Linked DNA regions of Mus musculus: regions 2, 3, 4 and 5 are each reported to be linked to region 1. The links are microRNA targets in miRTarBase. Many come from high-throughput screens and were not tested one by one. Region 1 holds a microRNA gene; each other region holds the end of a gene's coding sequence.

Region 1 (4,588 bases):
TTGCACTCAGCCCCCTACGGGTAGATCTGAGATTCTAAGTCACCTGCGTGAGGCCTGCCCACACCCCAGCAGACAGTGCTGCACCCTGAGCACAGTAAGGATTGAAAAATGGCCTTCCTACCGAATGCCCCATGTCTGCTAGCCATGCCCAGATTGGTCCTGTGCCCCTGAACTGAAGCCCCTAGCCTCCACTGAAGGGGGTGCAATGAAGGTGAGTGAAGGTGATTGCTACTCAACCTGGGCTGGGGCACAGGGCAGCTTGCCATGGGCTTTACCGCCTATCCACTCTCCAGCCCACCTCCCTTACCATCCTCCCCACCCCGATCTCTGCTCACAGCCCAGAAGGTCACTGTGGTCAGGAGCCAACTCTCCAGCAAGGGCAGCGGTGGCACAAGAATGGAGCTCTAGTTCCAGGGGAGAGGCAGGGGGAATCTTCCCTCTGGGAAAAGAGCCAGGCTGCAGTGTAGAGCACCCCCAACAGAGCTCAACGAGGGGCATAGTCCTGTGCCCCCTAGGAACCTTTACACTAGAGGACTGATACCTCTACCAATTCCTTCAGTATTGCTTTGAGTTCACCTTGCAGCTCTTCTGAGGGAGGAAGGGAAAAAGAGACAGCAAGCCCAAGGTCAGAGCTGTGGTATGCTTGGGCCCCTTCTCCACCCTCCAAGAGGCAGAGGTTCTGCAGAGGCTCTGCTTTGGGGACAGGATGCAAAGGCACTAGTGGTCTATGAGTGTGTGACTGTGTGCATCTCTCCATGGAGTACTGAAGCAGTCTCCCTGCAGCATCTCTTTGTGTCTTCACGCGGGCCCTTTTGTCTTGCTTTTCTGCAACTGCACAGGACTTGAGGCTAGGAGAATTTGGGCGGTCAGTTCTGGATCTGGGTCAGAGCCAGGAAAGGGGCTCACACTCACCCCATGAAGATGAAAAGCAAGTCTGCAACTTGTCTGAGGGGGTGGGGGTGCAGAGGTTGTGACCTCCTCCACTGACAGTCAATCCTAGGTCATCAGTTTCCAACCTGTGTATCAGGACTCCTTTGCCAAACTCTATCTCTAAAAATATTTACATTAGGATTCATAACAGTAACAAAATTGCAGTTATGAAGTAGCAACAAAATACGAAGTAGCAACGAAAATAATTTTATGGTTGGGGGGAGGGGTCACCACAACATGAAGAACTCTATTAAAGGGTAGCAGCATTCTGAAGGTTGAGAACCATTGCCCTAGGTAATAGGGCCTGTAACCTTGGGGATCGGAAACCTTGCTGGGAGGAGACATGCCAGAGCAGAGTCTCATACCAGGACGCCAGCAGGTGGCGCTGGCTGCCGAGGACAGGAAAAAAAATGCCTGCAGCAGACCTGAGTGGGTGTCACTGCGGCTGCAGATGGTGGTGGGGGAGGGAGGAGGAGGATTTGTCATTTTCTCTCTGGGCTGCAGAGCCTCACGTGCCTCGCGTCCCGCATAGCTGGAGAGAGGTTTGGGGGCGGGATGCGGTCCAGTGTATCCACCCAGATTTAGACCTTGGATGCAGATGCAGATCCCCCACTTCCACAGCTCGAACCTCAACCTAAGGTTCAGGGGTTTCTTCAGAATCAAAGTGATCACCGCCTTCACCCTGCGACCCCAACTAGAGCGCCCAGGGGACAGACTGCAGTGACCCCAGACCCTACCCCATTTCTCTGGGGTTGCTGCGGCAACTATCCAGGGCCCCCTAGATGGGAACAGTGATACTCATGACATCCCTTCGCCCCAAGCGCATTAGCGCCCCGTCTCTCTGGGTGACTCCACGGCCAGCACCGAGGACAGCGCCCAGGACTGCCCGTGGGTAGCGGGACGCGCCAACACAACCCGGGAAGCTGCACACTTCCCTCCCGCGCCCCTCAGCCCGCCGCTTCCCCAGCCCCTCCCTTTGTCTTCTGGCCCTCGTCTCCCTCTTCGGGATCTCGAGCACTCAGAGCTGCGGACACACGTGGTCAGGGGCCGGGTGGCCACATTCTCCCCCGCGGTCGCCCCCACCCTTCTCGTGACGTCCTAGGCATGCGGGCCCCTTTGTGTCCCGCGGCCAGATCCCCGGCCCAGCAGCTGGGCCGCCCTCTGGGCGGGCGCATTGTTCGCCGGATTTGTCCGCGGAGCGAGGGGCCACCGGGGGCCGGGGCTCGCCTTTTTCCCGCGGGAGGGGCGCCGCGACGGCCGGGCTCCCGGGCCATTTCCATGAGAAAGGAGCGGCGGAGGCGCCTCTCTTGGCATTCACCGCGTGCCTTAATTGTATAGACATTAAATCAAGGTCCGCTGTGAACACGCAGAGGGGCCCTCAGGGCTGCGGCGGGCGGCGAGCGGCTGGACCGGGTCGGGGCCGGGCTGCGGCTTGCGTGGGGTCCTAGCCTGAGGGGCGCGAATGCTCCAGCTTCTTCGCCGCGGGGCGGGCGGGCGGGGCGGGGCTCCGCGCTAAGCTGGCAGTGCTGCCCTGGTCCGCCCCCAACTCCGAGGAGCCAGTTTTCCTTCCCCTCCCCGAGGTAGAGAAGGGCCCGGGCAAATCCCTCGGGGCGTTCCTGCAGTAGGGACCCCTCGGAGCCGCGGCGAGGGAGATGCAGGAGCCGGCCGGGGTGAGCGCGCGTGCTCCGGCCTGCTGCAGTCTTCTGACGGGTGCAGAGCCCTCTCCACCCCGGCGGCGCAAGCCTCTCCGCAGCTGCCCTTCCCCGGCTCCTCTTCCCGGCCCCACCAGGAGTGCGTGAGTGCGGTGAAAATAAAGAACCTCGATGTTCGGAGATGAAAAGCAGTCTCTTTCTACAACCCGCCGAGCTCTCTTCTCTTACGCCTCTGGCTGGCGAGAAGCTGCTCGAGGAGAGAAAGACGGGGTGACCTGAGAGACCGGCTCGCCCCGGCACGGGCCGCCAGCGCAGTTACCCGTCCGGGCGCGAGCCGCCGCCGCCTGCTGCTTCTCGGTTGCCGCCTCCGCTCCGCAGCACAGCCTGCGCTGTCGCCCGATCCCGCCTCCGCCTCCTTCTTGGCGCCCGCAGGACCCGCACGCTACGGCCCCGGGTGGAGGAGAGCGCAGGGACAGTGCCAAGGAAGCCGGGCAAATTCCTGAGGGCCGGGTGGGAGCCCGGCGTCCGCGAGGTCGGCACTGCGGGAGTCTGACTCCCACTCTCCTTGCCTAGACCGGGTGCGACCGTCCCCGCGCTCGCCGCCGCCGCCGCTGCCTCCGCTCGTATCCGCGCTCGGCTCCGGCACCGGGCGATTATCACTGGGGCGCGCGGTGACGTCACCCGACACCGGCTCTGCCGCCTCCTCTCGGAGGTGTCCTTGAGAACTGAGGGGCACGCGCACCGCGTACACGCGCACTCACGCACCGCGCGACCCGTGCCTCCCGCGCACACGCTCGGCGTCCCGCTCCGCGCGCTCCTCGACTCACACGGATGCAGCCCTCGAACGCCTTCGATTGTGCCCGGCGCCCCGGGGTCACACGTATGCAGAGAAACTGCCTCTTGGACACTCTCGAACCGCTCATTCTGTCCTACTGCACGACCCACGCAAAAGCTTCTCCCGCAGCCCACCGACCGCAGCTCCTCTACACCCACCACCAGCCACACCCCGCTGTGCAGCGAACACACTGTGCTTGCCTCACACAAGCGGCTGGTCCTTCCGGAATAACCACTCTACACAGTGGCTTCTGAGCCTCTCTCTCCTGGGGGGGGGAAAGAAAGGGGTCCTAGCCTCCTGCTGGCGGCCCTATGTGGAGAAGGGAGTTAGACATCTCCCCCAACCCCCATCAGAGACTGCTCCCCTTTTTCACCCTTTTTCTAGCTGGGTAGCGAGTCCTTGCTTACGAGGATGGGAGAAACACAGTCCATACTTCACAGTTGACTGCAATTGAATCTACTCTTTGCAGTCTATTGAAGGGTGACTACCTTGATCTGGGTCTTTAGGGCTAGAGATCAGCGGCTTTCCAAAAATAAAAAACAAAAAAAAAAAAAAAAAAAAACCCACGCCACTCTAGGCCTTCCCAGCGGGCCTTTGTTCCTGCAGACTGGAAGAACCACACAGAAGTAGGCAGGCCTCTGTCCTATCCTTTCTCCCTGGGCCAACCCAGCCCTTGACCACCTGCCCTCTAACAGAAGCTAAATGACCCAGGCATAAATTCTTCCCCCTCCCTTTCCAACCTTCTCCAGCCCCGTGGGAACCCCCGAAGACACTCAGCTGGGAAGGAGGTAATCTCCGGAGATCTCATCCCACTGCCCGAAGGTCCTCAGAGGGTCAGGATACTTCTCTCCCAACCCCAAATCCTTCCCTTTGCAGGTGCCAGTCTCAACCGACGCTAGAGAATCCCCTCTTACACAGACAGCTAAGCCCACCTTTGCTTATGCCCAACCCAAAGTCAAGGAAACCACCCACGGCCTGCCAGCACCTGCAGCCCGAGGGACACTGGCTGGTGGCTCAAGAGTGGAGGATCTAGACTCCGAGCAGAGGCTACTCCCTGTTGGAACCAGCTCCTCTTTGCCTGGCCAGTGGTCCCTCTCCCTAGAGGGTACTGGGTCAGGTCCCCAGCACCGTCCATGACACCAAACCTTCACGGTCTGCTGTCCATGGTGTA
Region 2 (3,706 bases), not on the chromosome of region 1:
CCCCAGTGTGCCTCCAGCAGGGGGCTGCGGTGAGGGCCCAGATGCGTTCTCTTGTTCTTGGGAGCGGCTGCATGAGCTGCACGTTCTCACAGCACCCACTTTGCGGGCTTGGCTGGCCCAAAATGGTGTGCAGCTCTGCGCCATTGATGACCTGGATTCCAAAAGGCCTGGGGAAGGGGTCCCCTTGTGAGGCAACTCTGGAACCTTTCCTGGAGCCTTCCTCACTCAGACACCGAAGGCCAGCTACAAACTGCCTAAAACTATGGAGGAAGGCCAAGGCTAAAGTTCCAGTTCAGTCAGGCCTTGGAGCAGGGTCTGACTTCCTAGAGTGAAAAGCCACTAAATCCTGTTTCCAGGTCCTCTAGGCTGAGTAGTGAGTAGTAGGCCGACCTTGGGCAGCCTTACCTGGCTGCAGGGAGGCCCAGTCTGTGACATCTGGACGTAAGGACAGCTGAGCGATTATTTGGTGCCAGTTCGTGTTGTAGTTACAACCACTTGTTTAAGAGCAATGGGAAGAGGCTGGTGTGTTAATAAAATAATGTCTTTCAGATTTGGCTGGTTTATAAAGTGTCCAGGTATCCTTCAGAGAAATAAGAGTGGGCACAGAGAACTCCTTAGAGGCTCAGACCAAGACATACAAAAACATCTTTACATTCCAATTCTGCACATGCTTATATGTTTTAAATCCTTTTTTAGAAAAATATTACATACACTTGTTTGTGTTGGGGGAGTAATATGCGTACCATGGCACGTGTTTTCTTTTTGAGATGGATAGTATCTTACCACATTGCTCAGACTAGCCTTCGAATCCTAGGCTCAAGGGGTTGTCCACCACCACCGACTTGTTGAGACTGCAAGCACACACCACTGTGCCCTAGCCATGACTACATTCTTTTCTTAAACAAACATACAAACAAAAATGTATTCCGTGGCTGGTGAGATGGCTCAGCAGTTAAGAGCACTGACAGCTCTTCTGAAGGTCCTGAGTTCAAACCCCAGCAACCACAGCTCACAAACATCCATAACAAGATCTGACACCCTCTTCTGGAGTGTCTGAAGACAGCTAGAGTGTACTTACAGATAATAAATAAATGAATTTTTAAATGTCTTTATTTATATGATGAGTACACTGTATCTGTCTTCAGACACACCAGAAGAGGACATCCGATCCCATTATAGATGGTTTTGAGCACCATGCGGTTGCTGGGAATTGAACTCAGGGCCTCTGGAAGAGCAGTCAGTGTTTTTTAATCGCTGAGCCATCTCTCCACCCCCATTCTTTTTTCTTTCTTTCTCTTTCTTTCTTTCTTTCTTTCTTTCTTTCTTTCTTTCTTTCTTTCTTTCTTTCTCTTTCTTTCTTTTTTTTTTTTTTCAAGACAGGGTTTCTCTGTATAGCCCTGGCTATCCTGGAACTCACTCTGTAGACCAGGCTGGCCTAGAACTCAGAAATCCGCCTGCCTCTCTGCCTCCCAAGTGCTGGGATCAAAGGCGTGCGCCACCATGCCCGGCCCTTCTCTTTCTTAAGGGAGGGGGACAAGATTCATTAGGGTGCTCTGGGGAGGCACATGATAACCATAATTTTGATTTAAAAAGAGGTTATCTGGGGGGAGGGGCAGCAAGATGGGCTCAGTTGGGTAAAAATCCTTGAGTTTGATCCCTGGGATTCTGGTGGAAGGTAAGAATCAACTTCTAAAAGTTGTCCTCATCTGGGTGCCACAAACCCACACAGACTTTATATACATGCTATAGAAGTCGTTTTAGTTGTCTTGGGAAAAAAGTAATCTGTTATATGTAAGCCATTTCAGGGGACAGATGGAAAAAGGAGTGTTACATTTCCCCAGGAAAGTAGTCTTCTGCTGACATGATAAACTAGGATTCTAGCGATGTCTGATGACGTATGGATGCTCTGTGGGCAGTAGGGAGTAGAAGGGAAGAGCACACCTCACACTGTTTCTGAGGATGGAAAACATGATCCTCCTTTTGGTAGTGGGGACTGAGTCTATAGTTTCACACACGCATGCTAGGCAAGACAGCTGGGCTGTCTTTGATACTCATATTGCCAATGATGACACTGAACTTCAGGTCTTTCTGCCTCCACTTCTCAAATGCTGGGATTGCAAGTGTGCACTGCCCGTCAGTCCCAGGTAACATGGTTTTAGGATTAAGCCCAAGGCTTCCTATCAACTAAACTACACCTCCAGCCCTTACATGTCCCAGGCCCCCACTAGACTTAGAAGTGGGAGTTGTAGAGCGGGGCTTTGAACTTGACATGACTTACATCCATCCTGCAGCTGGGGGCTGGGAGGAAAGGAAGCTCTCTCTCATTTGGCCTGGTAATGGCCTGGTAAGACTTTGTGGCTTTCAGAAGGAATGGCTCCTCCTCTCTTGCCTTCATTCCCTTGATAGGCTCCAGTCTATTATAACCTTCCTGGACCTTGGCCTGGGCAGGTTCAACTCTGCAATGTCTGTGACCAAGTTTTCTATTCACTTCCTCATGTTTCTAGAGACAGCTCTTGGAGTGTGACTACAGCGGAGTGCTCAGAAGGCTTTGCCGAGTTCTGTTCTGCTGGGATACTGCCCAGCTTACAAACGGAAAATCAGTGTGATCTAGGCCACACTGGAGGAAAAGGAAGGTCCCCTGAAAGCTTCCTTCCCTGCACCTTGGGCATAGCACTGGGTATGTGGTCTGTACTCTGTTTTCCCAGGATTGCTGTCTGAAGAACTGAACTGTGTAGTCATCCAGGAAACGCCATTCACCAGGCATAGCCTGGGCTGGGCACCCTGTTGCAGTCAATCTCTTCCTCAGCCTTATTCTCTGTAGTAGTACTGAGAGTAAAGGGGTAGTACTGTTTGCTCACACTGGACATGAGCAGGGCAGGAAAAGCCAAACTTGACTTCTCCCTCAACTAGACTGCACAGCATGTTGTGTGGGGACACATCTCGTAGGGCTAGAGAAAACGACACACCAAATAAAAGTTGAGTGCCTTACAAGCTGCTTACTCAGCAGTGGGGGAACCATGGGTCTTTGGCCACAGGAGCCTTGGGAGTAAAAGGTAAGGATAAAGGGGATATGGGACTTATGAACTATGCACTCCCTTGAGAAACATGCTGGGGAGGGAGAGTGAATGAAGGAGTATGATTGGAAGTTCAAACCCAGCAGTGCCCCAGGAATGTTTGGAGGCAAAGGTAACATGACATTCTAGGATGTATTCCTACAAGATCGGCAGATACAACTAAGAAGGTACCCTCAATTCCATCTGGTGCCCACATGTCACAGGCCTGTGCCCAACTGAGGTTAATGCATGCTGTAGTGCCTTAGCAGTAGCTCTCTGGGAACCTCAGAGAGTCTCCAGATAATGACTAGGATTCAAGGAAAAGGCCTAAGATATATAATCTTGCGTTCTGAGACCTTGATCAATCCTCTCTTCTTGACTTGTTCTTCTCAACTTTGCTAAATTAAGTTCATACTTTCTTGGAGCTACAAGGATGGAAGTAACAAGGGGCCAGTCTCCTTGATAGCCATGGGGTCTCTTGAGATTTTCCCAGTGTTGACTCCCCTATCTACTTCTACCTGGCAGACAGAACCACCTGTACACCTCTTTTAGAGGCTGAGAAGTGGAGGAAAGATTAGAGGCCCAGTCACTACTCTCTAGTCTCCAAATAGCCGCTCCCCACCCCCCAGCAATGGCCATCCCCAAAGAAACCC
Region 3 (3,706 bases), not on the chromosome of region 1:
GCTGCCTACTATGCTTTGGAGGATGGCAAGATGCTCCACTCCAACAAGGACAAGCTGCATCTGTTTGAAAGGACTCGGGAGCTGCCAGGAGCCGTGGCCGCCGCCGCCGCCGCTGCCACCACATTCCCCTTGGCCCCCCAGATTCTCCTTGGCACCATCCCACTTCTGGTCCTCCTGCCTGTGTTGTGGTAGACAGTTGGCCATGTAGGTAGGATACAGAGGAGAGTAACGACTGCCCTGAGCCTTGGGCTCCTGCCCCTGGCTTCTCCTTTTGTCTGAGGGCTCAAGTCAGCCTCAGGATGCAGCCCAGCAGGTGGGCTGGCTCCCTGAGACCCAGTGTTCTCTGCAGACCAACCAACCGTTCAGCAGAGGTGGCCTCCGCAGCTGACGGCCTGAGCATGGTGCCCTCAGAGCCGTCTGCAGATGTTTTGGCCGGGGTGAAGGGCGCGTGGGACAGCTCTCCCCTCTTGATTTGTGCACGCAACAAGGTTGTGGTGATTGATGCTGTGTTTTTGTGACAGTAGAGTTGTGTGAGGGAGAGAGCAGCTCCCTCTACCCTGACCCCCATCGTGTGAATGTGCGAACCAGAGCCCCCTAAGCTGAAGTCCACCCCCCCCCCGCCCCCATCACCAGAGAGACACTGGGAAAGTCGGCTCCTTCCACACCCTCACAATGCACTGAGACAGGCCCGGCTGACTGCTGCACACCTACTCTGGGGCCCCTGTGCCCTCCCACACACTCTCGCGCACACTGTTACACAAGCACACTCGCACACACTAAGCCCATGGGGACACCCCCAAGACCCCACATCAGGAAGGCAGAAGCATTTCCAAGATTCTATCCCCAGGCAGGTACTCCTTAGCAGTGTGACTAAGGGCATACCAGAGAGCCCTGCTCAGCATCTTTAGCAAATGGATGTAACCTTGTAGCCAGGAGGCTGTGCCCTCCTGGTCCCTTCCTACCCAGTGCTACGCAGGGACTGTCCCGTGCATCCAGCTACTGTGGATGTGTCTGAGGTGCTGCATCCAGGCACCTGCCTGCAAAGCCCCACAGTTGAAGGGAGGGTGTGTTTTGGCCTGAGGTCTAAGCGGTACCATTCATGGGCTCAGATCCCCAACTCTGGCTCCACCCTCTGCCCCTCTCCCATTGCACTTAAGAAATCGAAGTGCTGTCATTCTGAATGTTTCAACAGAGACGTGATCCTCCGGTTCCTGCCATCGCCACCCCTACCCCCACCCCTCACCCCTGCCCCCGCCAGCAGACATAAGAGTCCCCACCAGAGAGGGGCTGGGGTCTCAGGGCATGAGCAGCAGATCCAGTGGATAGGGCCAGCTGGCCTGCCCTGTCCTCTGCCCTTTCACTTGTCTCCTAGACTTCCCCTGCTGCTGGTCAGCAGCTACACCCCCCAGCCCTCTTGTCTGCATTTCTTTGTGGGAACTGAGGGGAGCACCTTCTAAGAGGCCTTCCTGCACCATGACCCTGCCTGGCGGGTTCTCCTCCCACTAGAACCTTCTTTCAACTCTCTGGCCACAGCCAGAGAGAGGCCTGTCACTGGGAACCTAGCTTTCTTTCCTTCAGCTCAAGGCCAGAGTCCATCCACAGAGCCCAGAGCCATTCCCATCTCTTCTGCTGTTCCAGAGGCCCCCCAAGGAACCAGCATGGCGGTACCGCCAGCCCCCCTGGGCCACCCAGCCAGCGGCCCTGCAGAGCCTACCCCAGCCCCACCCCCCAGGGACCTCTCATACACTGGCCGGGAGGCTGCAGAACCTGCCTCTCCCTCCCAGAGGTCCAAACCCCTGCCAAAACCACGTGGGTAGCTGGGAGGGGTCAGCTCCGCTGCCCCCTGCTGGTTTTTCAGCTATCCCTATGTTGGAAGTAAAAGAGTTGAAGCACTTTATTTTGGTTGTGTTTGATCACGTTCTGCTTGGAAGTGGGGACCCCTCACTGAGTCCACCTGTGTGCGACCTGTGTGGAGAGCCACTGCGTGTACATACTGTAAATTATTTATTAACGGCTAAATGCAAGTAAAGTTGGTTTTGTTTTGTTATTTTTCTTTTAGATGAGCTGTTGGAGTTTATTTTCGAAACAGACTTTGGTCCTTGCGGGGTGGAGAGGTGAGGTGGGTGGGTGGATGTGTCCCCACTACAAAGTGTGTCAAGACGGGGCTGTGTGGGCCCAAGTTGTGTGAGCTGTGAGATGCAGCTGTTTAACCACCATGGCCTTCGGGGACTGAGATTACCTCTCTTCCTTCCTATGCCTGAGCCGTTAGAAGGACTTGGTTGGTCCGTTTCCCCTTGCTCTGGGCACGTCAGGGCAGACCGATGTTATACGATGAAAGGCTGAGAGCTGTTGTCTAGAACAGAGTCTGGAATGGAGGAGGGTCTGCGGTCCATAATGGCTTCATCCAAGCCAGCATGACCGAGAAGCCCCAGCCACAACTCGACCCCTTCAACATCCCTTAGCACCCAGCCTAGGGGCCCAGTGATGTGCTCTGATAGCACCACTGTCCAGACGTGTGCAAAGCCAGGCTCCCTGCTGACTACGGGCACATGTTGTCGCCGTGATTCAGTGTCACGGGACCCAAACCATTTAACAGATTGAAGATCTGTGTGAGATGTGCCCCCCTGTACCATGCCCTCCCTGTCAAGGGCAGAGCCAAGGCATACACCTAGGTCAATTTTGCTTGTGATACTCTGTTCAAGTCAAGTTTAAGTCCCAGATAAGTAAGCTTGGTCAAGTCACTTAACCCTCTGAGGCTCCCAACAGCTCCCAGCAATGTCTTCATCTGCTCCCCAGAGGAGAGGAACCCGCAAGACTGGGGAGGAGACGAAAGGCCAGTAAGAGGAGAAATCCAGAGAGCATTTATGCCCACCGGACACACAACCTCAGCACCAGATGTGAGGAGAGAGAGAATGTTCAAGAGCCTTGCTTGAAACAAAGAAACAAGCAAAACCACAGGCTCTTAAACAAAGACCCTGAAGGGTTGATCTAGGAGGAAAGAGCTAAATGCACCCACTCTCCTGCATTGTCAGTCACCAAAGGCCTGGCCCCCCCAGTGGTCAGTGGGATTGTTAAAGAAAACAATCCCAGGGGAACAGCATAGCAATGGCGGGGCCATTGGCCCGAGCCACACGCTGGACAGACTGTGGAAAAGCCAGGCCCAGGCAAAAAGTCCTTCACTCTCCATCAGATGAAAGTGCCATGTGACACTTGCCAAAAAAATATGTGGGGCTTGGAATTTTTTTCAGGCTCCTAAATTTAACCCACAAGAATTCTTTCCTAAATACCACACCGCTCACTGCCCTCCAGAACAGGGGAATTTGCATCTCAAATGTCCGGGGCCAGCACCTTAAGTCTGAGTGCTCCAGTCTTCCTTGTGCATGACAGTTGCTCTGAGTTAAGTCTGAGTGCTCCCATCTTCCTTGTGCATGACAGTTGGTCTGAGTTAAGTCTGAGTGCTCCCATCTTCCTTGTGCATGACAGTTGGTCTGAGTTAAGTCTGAGTGCTCCCGTCTTCCTTGTGCATGACAGTTGCTCTGAGTTAAGTCTGAGTGCTCCCATCTTCCTTGTGCATGACAGTTGCTCTGGTGCAGACCTGGGCCGAGGCCAGTCAGCCTGGCAACCGAAGAGCTTTCGCATAGCCTGTGAGCTACTCTCTCTCTCCCACTCCATCCCCAACTGCCTATGAGTATGTAGCTCAATGTTA
Region 4 (3,706 bases), not on the chromosome of region 1:
TGTCTGAATGGACTACACTGAAGTTGAACTAACAAGGTTTTTGAATCATATATGAAAATGGTTGTATTCTAGCCAGTTTCACAACTCTCTGCTTTTGTTCCTCCCCATGAATTTTAGTTGGCTGATTGCAATTCTGGCACAGCTCAATCCTCTGTTTGGACCACAGTTGAAAAATGAAACCATCTGGTATCTGAAGTACCACTGGCCTTGAGGATGAAGACGCGCTGCACAGTGCCTAGGCACTGAGGTGACTATGTTCTTGCCCTTTCTTGTGAACATTGACAGCCAGTCAGCTAGTATGTTTGCTATGGCCCTCAGAACTTCATGGCCATTTAAAGACAGCTGAGATAGCCGAAGAGTAGACTGGTTTAAAAAAAATTATTTATATATATATATATATTCTAAATAATAGAGCAAACCATTCTTTTTGTGTGTATTATTACCCTTTTAAAGTTTGGTGCAGGAGAGATGGTGCAGAGGGTGAAAGCTCTTGCATCCCTGGGATCCCCATCCACCTGCTGAGATCCTCAGCACTCGTCCTCTGATACACCTGTGCACGTGGTTCAAGACCGTAAGCTCCCCTGCAGGCTCCCAGCAGATTAGAAAGCGGGTAGTCTTAGTCTAACAGCACCTAACAATGGGAAGAAATGGCTAAACTATTGAAAATTAATGTCTTAGAATGCTTTGGGGAAAGGGAGACAATCCGCTGCTGAAGGTTGGGAATTGTATATGCCCGTAATTCCAGCATTGATTTCAGAGACAGGGGGATGATAAGTTCAAAGCCAGCCTGGGCTAGACCAGCTCAAGCTACAGAGTGACTCCAAAACAAAGAGGAAGTCAACTCAAGACGGAAGCTTTCATTTGATGCTGAGACCAGGTGGTAAACAGTGGCAGCGCGCAAAAGTTTACCCACTGGCTGAGTGGCAGGTCCCTTGTCATCTGATTCCTTTTCTCTGTTTTTTTTTTAAGATTTATTTATTATTATATGTAAGTACACTGTAGCTGTCTTCAGACACACCAGAAGATGGTTGTGAGCCACCATGTGCTTGCTGGGATTTGAACTCAGGACCTTCAGAAGAGCAGTCAGTGCTCTTAACCACTGAACCATCTCATCTCTCCAGCCCCCTCTGTTACTTTGTTAAATGGAAGCTAGTGTCAAGTGTTCAGAACAGAGCTGAGCCATTTTCTTAACATGCTTTTTGAAACGACTTTATTTATGTACATATTTATTTTACTTTTATATGTATGAATGTTTGCCTGCATGTGTGTCTTCGCATCACATTTTTGAAGTGCCCGAGGAGGCCAGACGTGGGCATCAGATCCCCTGAAACTTGTGTGAACTACCATATGGGTGCTGGGAGCCAGACTCAAGAAAGCAGCCAGTGTTCTTAAAGAAACTAAGCCATATCTCCAGCCTCTGAGCACTTCTTGAGAAAGATTGTCATTTGTCTAGAAGCTAAGGAGAGTTCTGAGCTGTGGCGGGCTCAGCTTTTGTTTCTTTAACCTAAGGTAAATAGTTTTAATAACATACCCTTCGAGATGTAATATAAGGTGTATGCTCATAGCTTGGGTCAGGGTCACCAAAGATCCCTTGAGTTACAAAACCAGGAACGTGGAGAATAAGAACATTTGGTCTTAGGTTCTAAGCAGCTCTGCACCATGGCTTCCCTCAAGCCTGCCCAGCCCGCCCTAGGACCTCCTTTCCTTCTTTCTTCTCTCTCTGCTCCTGACCTGGAGGTTCCAGGCCTGCTGTTTCCATGTTTCTAACTTAGCTCTTCGTCTCTCAATGCCCTACTTCGTTCACTGCGCTTAGAAGGCAGGTCAGCAAGTGTGTGTCTCTGGACATGGCCCTGACTCTGCCTCAGCTCCCGCCAGCTCTTAATGATTCAGATGTTTCAGGGCTCAGCCTGCAAATCCTGTGCTTGCTTCCTGACCACGGTTTCTAAGTGAGATCTTTCATCTCTAGATGCATATGGCTTTCTAATTGTTAACCACTCTTTTAATGCCCGTGCTTCTAACTGGCTTAGTCTTGTAGTTGAATAAGACTATTTTTGCATATTATAATAAAGAATAGTTTGAAATTTTATCTAAAATAACAGTTTAGAAACAAGAGTCAGACAGACAGAGACACATTCATTCACATACCCTTTTTTGGATGAATGGGGTTCTTCATTCTGGCCTTTTGTTATTTTTTATTTGTTTTGGGTTGATTGGTTGGTTGGTTAATGGTTGGTTGCTTTTTGTTCTGTTTTTGTTTATTTTTGTTTGTTTGCAAGACCCGGTTTCTTTGTGTAGCCTTGGCTGTCCTGGAACTCGATCTGTAGACCAGGCTGACCTTGAACTCATGGAGATCCACTTGAGTGCTGGAATTAAAGGTGTGCACCACCACTGCCCAGCTGGCCTTGGTATTTTTAAGTTACTGTCTCAGTCCCTTCCCCCGTCACCGTTCTCAGGTTTTCTCTTGGCTACCTTAGTGAGTTCTTTGTTTTACACACAGGTTCTGGATTGGTTGTTCCAGCTCCATCCTCAGCTCGTTATTTCCACATCATGGAGAGGACTCCATGCTCCTTAGCTCACCCAACACAGAGCCCTGGAGCCACACTTAACTCTAGTTCAGCTGTCACCAGTGACGCTGAGTAAAAGGACTTCCTAGTGTGTGGGTTTATTAAAGAAAAATGAAGGTCATTTTCCTCCTTTGTGATTCTTTATTTTTTAAAAAAAAAAAAAAAAGGCTAATGAGATGGTCCAGGAGTTAAGAATGGATCCTCTTCTTACAGAGGGCCCAAGTTCAAATCCTAGCACCCAGACTGAACCACATACAACCTCCTGCAACTCCATTCCCAAGAGATCCAGTGCACCCTTCTGAACTGTGAGGGCACTGCACGCACGTGAGCACACAACACCTCTGCCCCTCCCACAGATACACATGTATACACACAAGTAAAAATAAAATACCTCTTTAAAAAGTCCAGAGGGGCCCGGGGAGTGGTGGCGCACGCCTTTAATCCCAGCACTTGGGAGGCAGAGGCAGGCGGATTTCTGAGTTCAAGGCCAGCCTGGTCTACCGAGTGAGTTCCAAGGCAGCCCGGGCTACACAGAGAAACCCTGTCTCGAAAGTCCAGAGGGTAAGGAAGTCTGTCAGTGCATCACTGTTCATAGAAGATTCCCACAGAGCTATCTGCAGTCTCCAGCCAACTTTATCATCTGCCTAGAATAGAATGTCTTCAGAGCAGCTTTTCTGCCAGCCCAGGCCAGGGAAAGAAAGTGACCACAGGAACAGTCTGCTCTGACAGTTGCCACCTCAGCCTGGTGCTCTCCTAGCGCACTGTAAAAACCATCCTTGAGTTATTCCATTTTCCTCTGTTTTCTGGTGCTGGGGATTGCTGAGCATGCCGTCTGTCACACTCTCTGTCCCACCCTCTCTGAGGGAGCCACAGCCCCAGATCTCCTCTCATTAAATCTTGAGTTGAATGCATATTGTTTGCAGTATCCTGCACTGGGACATAATGGGACTCCAGAAGGTTTGTTGTAGGCATGGTGGCTTTCCTACTTTCTCCTCGAGCTCTCCTCTGCCTTCCTCCTCTGTCTTCAACTTTTACATTTTATATAGTGTTTTGCTGCATGTGTGCTCTAGCCCTGACTACTTTTAGTTCTTGTCCCTGTCCCTACACCCCACCCGCACCCCCCTTTCTTAAATCCTATATAT
Region 5 (3,706 bases), not on the chromosome of region 1:
TGATGTATAACCATCTCTCCCCCTCTGTTCTCTTCTTCCATCAGGTAGGGGCATCAGTGATGTCTGCAGTGGGAGAAAACGCCAACCCCGAGAACAGTGACCTCAAGTATTCAGGTCAAGACGGCCTCTACATAGGTGTCAGTCTGTCCTCCCCTGCCGAAGTCACATCCTCCGTGCGACAGGATTCTTGGTGTGCTCTGGCCCTGGCCTGAGCTGGTGCTACCAAGAGGCAAGGAGGGCTCTGAAGGCCTCATACCACTTGTGTCTGATATTGTCCAGCAGTCCAGATGGCAGCAAAAATGCAGACATAACATTCCTTCGATGCGTGATTTCTGTGCCTTTGTTTTGAAAGAGATATATTTCTCAAGAAGCTTACTGAAGTAAGAAGAGATGGGCTTTTGCAGGAAGGGCCAGCACCGTGGGCATGTGGCCTGCTCCTGCCAGCCTGGGCTGCTTCCTGCCTCTGACTCTGCCCCATACCAGTGGGAGAAACTGTGACAATGACCGGGGCCTTGTCTGCTAAGGAAGATTGAGAGATTTAAGAGAAAATGTTTGTGTATTGCTCCAAATCATGTGCTTCTTGTGATCAACCTCGGTTATCCCAGAACCCATTCATCCCCGACCACCGTGCACATTTCACAAGCGTTCGTGGAGAGGAGCACTGGGAGCCATTTGGTCTATCCTGGAGGCGGAGTGCATTCCTGGGGTCTCAACAAGAATATTAATTTGCAAGATTGCATCATGACAGACACTGACTGACTTATCTCAACGTTCATCGTAACGTGGCTGATCTGAGGTCACTTGGAATTTGTAAACAGGGTAGCAAACAAGATATTTTTCTTCCATGTACACAATAATTTTTTTAAGTGCAATTTGCGTTGCAGCAATCAGTGTTAAATCATTTGCATAAGATTTAACAGCATTTTTATAATGAATGTAAACATTTTAACTTAATGGTACTTAAAATAATTTAAAAAAAAGTTAACTTTAGACATATGCTTCTTACACTCACAGCCCACTTCTGTGTTCCCAATTGTTTAAAAGAAAAAAAAAAAGATTTCAAGAACAAATCTTCTCTCAGGAAATTGCCTTTTCTCCATTTATGAATTTTTATACAAGAACACCAACACAGTCCCCGTTCTTTTACTGAGGAAAAAGTGCTGGAAATTGCAACAAACCTTTACTACCTAGAGAATAGCATTTGTAAATATTCTAAGTATCTGTAACACTCTTGACGCCTGTACCACGTGACCAACCCACAGGTTGGTTTACATTATTATTTTTTTTAATGGGATATCATATGGAAACCTATTTCACCAGAGTTTTAAAAAATAAAAAGGGTATTGTTTTGTGTTCTGTACAGTGAGATCCTTCCTTTTCATCTTATTTCAATGCTGTGTGTGACTCTAAGGTGTCACATAGAACAAGTGCAGTGGTGTTTGCAAGCTGCCTTGAGACCTTTATCTAAAAGAATTGTTCTTTGGGGGCCATTGTGCACCTTGGATTATTTGGAATGGCACATGGAATGCCAGTTGGAAGCACTTCTTATAAATGAATATGAGATTTATGGGGCAACATTGTCTGAGATTATGAGCAGTCTGTTTCAGATCATTGCTTGAAAACATGCTAGCCAGTTCTTCTAGACTTCTTTGTGAATGACTATACTCTGGGACTCTTGGTCAGAACACTTTCCTTCCTGGTCCCCACTTCTGCATAGTGCACCTCCAGGACTGCAGGGCTGACACCCACCAGACAACCTTTGTTGGGTGGATTTTAGGAAGTTAGGCAATTGTTAGTACAACTGGAAATGCTTTGAATGTCTGGCATTTTGAACTTGTTTTTTTGCAGATATTCTTGGTGTGGTAGATGAAATTTTATGGCAGAAAACTATAGACAGTGCTGGTAGGTGCTCAGGGTTGGTGTGTATATTTGGGGAATTCATAGGAGCAGAGCTGCCCCAGAGGCTAGACCTACTGGCTAAGAATGCTAGATATAAAACCAGACCACTAAGGCTTCAAGTCTCTGTTCTGTTCTGTGATAGATTATCCAACTAACTGCCACTTCCCATAGCCTGCAGAACAAGCAGTATAGAACTCTTGGGTTTGCTGCGAGATAATCCATGCACTGTTCCCACTGCAGTGTCTGTCACATGGTAGTAACTTGAATTTGAAGAAGGTTGGCAAGAGCTCCCACTCCTTGGGTGTGGATCCCAGCACTCCGGAGGCAGGAACAGGCAGATCTGGTCTACAGAATTCCAGGACAGCCAGGGAGGGCTGCACAAGGGAATGAATCCTGTCTTGAAAAACCAAAAGAATAACCAACCAACCAATCAACCAACCAAAAAATCAAAACCAAACTAAACCACCAACAAAGAGGAGGTGTGTGGGGCTCCCCTCACTCCCAGCCCAGGGGTATGGTGGAGATGAGCAGTGTATGTGTGAAGTTCAGTCCACCTTGGGCCAACTGCTTTATAGATCAGGGCTGCTCTAAGTGATCATCCGGGCACTGGTCATTCCTGTTCCTTGTACAGGTCTCATTACTTTGTGTGCCTTCTAGATGATGGGGGTATAAGTTAATAAGCTCTCAGTGATCATCTTTGGGAGGTGGGGGCATCTCATAAAACCTTCTTCAATTCTGAAATGTCATATAATTGCTAATTTTCCTTTATAACGGGGAAGGAATTCTAGGAACCATGGAATAAATGACAAGAGGCAGAGAAAAGGGTCAAGGCTTTTTGCAGTATGTTTTTTTAGCACAATTAGTAGTGCTCATCTGGGCCTTTAAATGATGCTGTCTTATTGTGACTCGACAGAACAGAAGTCCCTAACTTCCAAATGTACAGGTTTACCATGATTTTCTAAAGCCAGACTGACACAGTCTTTCTTTCTTTTTTCTCTTCTCTTCTCTTCTCTTCTCTTCCTCTTCCTCTTCCTCTTCCTCTTCCTCTTCCTCTTCCTCTTCCTCTTCCTCTCCTCTCCTCTCTTCTCTTCTCTTTCCTTCCTTCCTTCCTATCTTTTTTTTTTTTTTTAAGTCAAGTCCTACCATCTTCATACTGGCTCTGGATCTGCTGTGTAGCCCAGGCTGGCCTCTAAACTCTTAATCCTTGTACTTCTACCTCCAAGTGCTGGGAGTACAGGTATACACTACCAAGCCCAGTTTATTATTTTTCAATAGGGAATTAATTTAAGTAGATGTTGCTCCTTACCTTACAAAGCCCCTGAGCCCATTACCACAGGTTGCAGAATTTATTTCCTGTTACCCTTGTCTGATTTTAGGCTTATACAAGTGGAGCCTCTGTCTGGCCTCTAACTGCAGATTCCCTTAATGTTGTTTCCTGGTGTCTATGGGAGAGTCAGGAAAGCAAAGGCAGCCATTCACTTCTCCTGGCAAATAAATTAGCTTCTTGCTCAAGGGAAATGTTTTCCACAGGCCTTGGGAATTTGGAAGTTTCAGATCTCAGATAAATTAGCCCCTGGGAGGTAACACAGACCACAGTGGCTTTGCCAGGTCCCAGTCCAGGACGATACTGTGGCTTTGCATTTAGTCCTGTGTGCATCTGTGGATTCTGTGGATCCCCATGCCTTTAAGAAGAAAGTAGTGGGTACAGGGAAACTGAGGAGGCAGAGGGCAGACATTAATTCCTAATGGAACTGCTCTGGGCTGAAGTATTACAATTGGCAGTATTGGCTATCTATAGAGTGGAAGG

Evidence for each region. Region 1 holds the annotated microRNA mmu-miR-124-3p (UAAGGCACGCGGUGAAUGCC, at 2,240-2,259, opposite strand). A microRNA usually pairs through its seed, bases 2 to 8, with sites in the 3' UTR of a target mRNA and lowers its output. Matches are read on the target gene's strand: a 7mer-m8 pairs with bases 2 to 8, a 7mer-A1 pairs with bases 2 to 7 and ends in A, and an 8mer does both.
Region 2: miRTarBase lists Ydjc as a target of mmu-miR-124-3p. The part of its 3' UTR that is shown has no 7-base or 8-base seed match.
Region 3: miRTarBase lists Rgma as a target of mmu-miR-124-3p. The part of its 3' UTR that is shown has no 7-base or 8-base seed match.
Region 4: miRTarBase lists Atp6v0e as a target of mmu-miR-124-3p. The part of its 3' UTR that is shown has no 7-base or 8-base seed match.
Region 5: miRTarBase lists Gata6 as a target of mmu-miR-124-3p. Seed matches in the 3' UTR shown: 7mer-m8 at 335-341.

The regions. Positions count from the first base shown.
Region 1 is chr2:180,891,754-180,896,341 of GRCm38, reverse strand. Mir124a-3 (microRNA 124a-3) reads right to left here and starts at 2,302; the gene lies at 2,235-2,302.
Region 2 is chr16:17,148,297-17,152,002 of GRCm38, forward strand. It overlaps Ydjc (YdjC homolog (bacterial)), which reads left to right. Exons shown (of 5, transcript NM_026940.4): 5 at 1-561. The coding sequence ends at 190. Among named protein-coding and RNA genes, the nearest start is that of Ydjc, 3.2 kb to the left of the region's middle.
Region 3 is chr7:73,417,842-73,421,547 of GRCm38, forward strand. Rgma (repulsive guidance molecule family member A) reads left to right here. Exons shown (of 4, transcript NM_177740.5): 4 at 1-2,058. The coding sequence ends at 192. Among named protein-coding and RNA genes, the nearest start is that of A730056A06Rik, 44 kb to the left of the region's middle.
Region 4 is chr17:26,695,238-26,698,943 of GRCm38, forward strand. Atp6v0e (ATPase, H+ transporting, lysosomal V0 subunit E) reads left to right here. Exons shown (of 4, transcript NM_025272.2): 3 at 118-247. The coding sequence ends at 211. Among named protein-coding and RNA genes, the nearest start is that of Crebrf, 19 kb to the right of the region's middle.
Region 5 is chr18:11,084,271-11,087,976 of GRCm38, forward strand. It overlaps Gata6 (GATA binding protein 6), which reads left to right. Exons shown (of 7, transcript NM_010258.3): 7 at 45-1,365. The coding sequence ends at 212. Among named protein-coding and RNA genes, the nearest start is that of Gata6os, 34 kb to the left of the region's middle.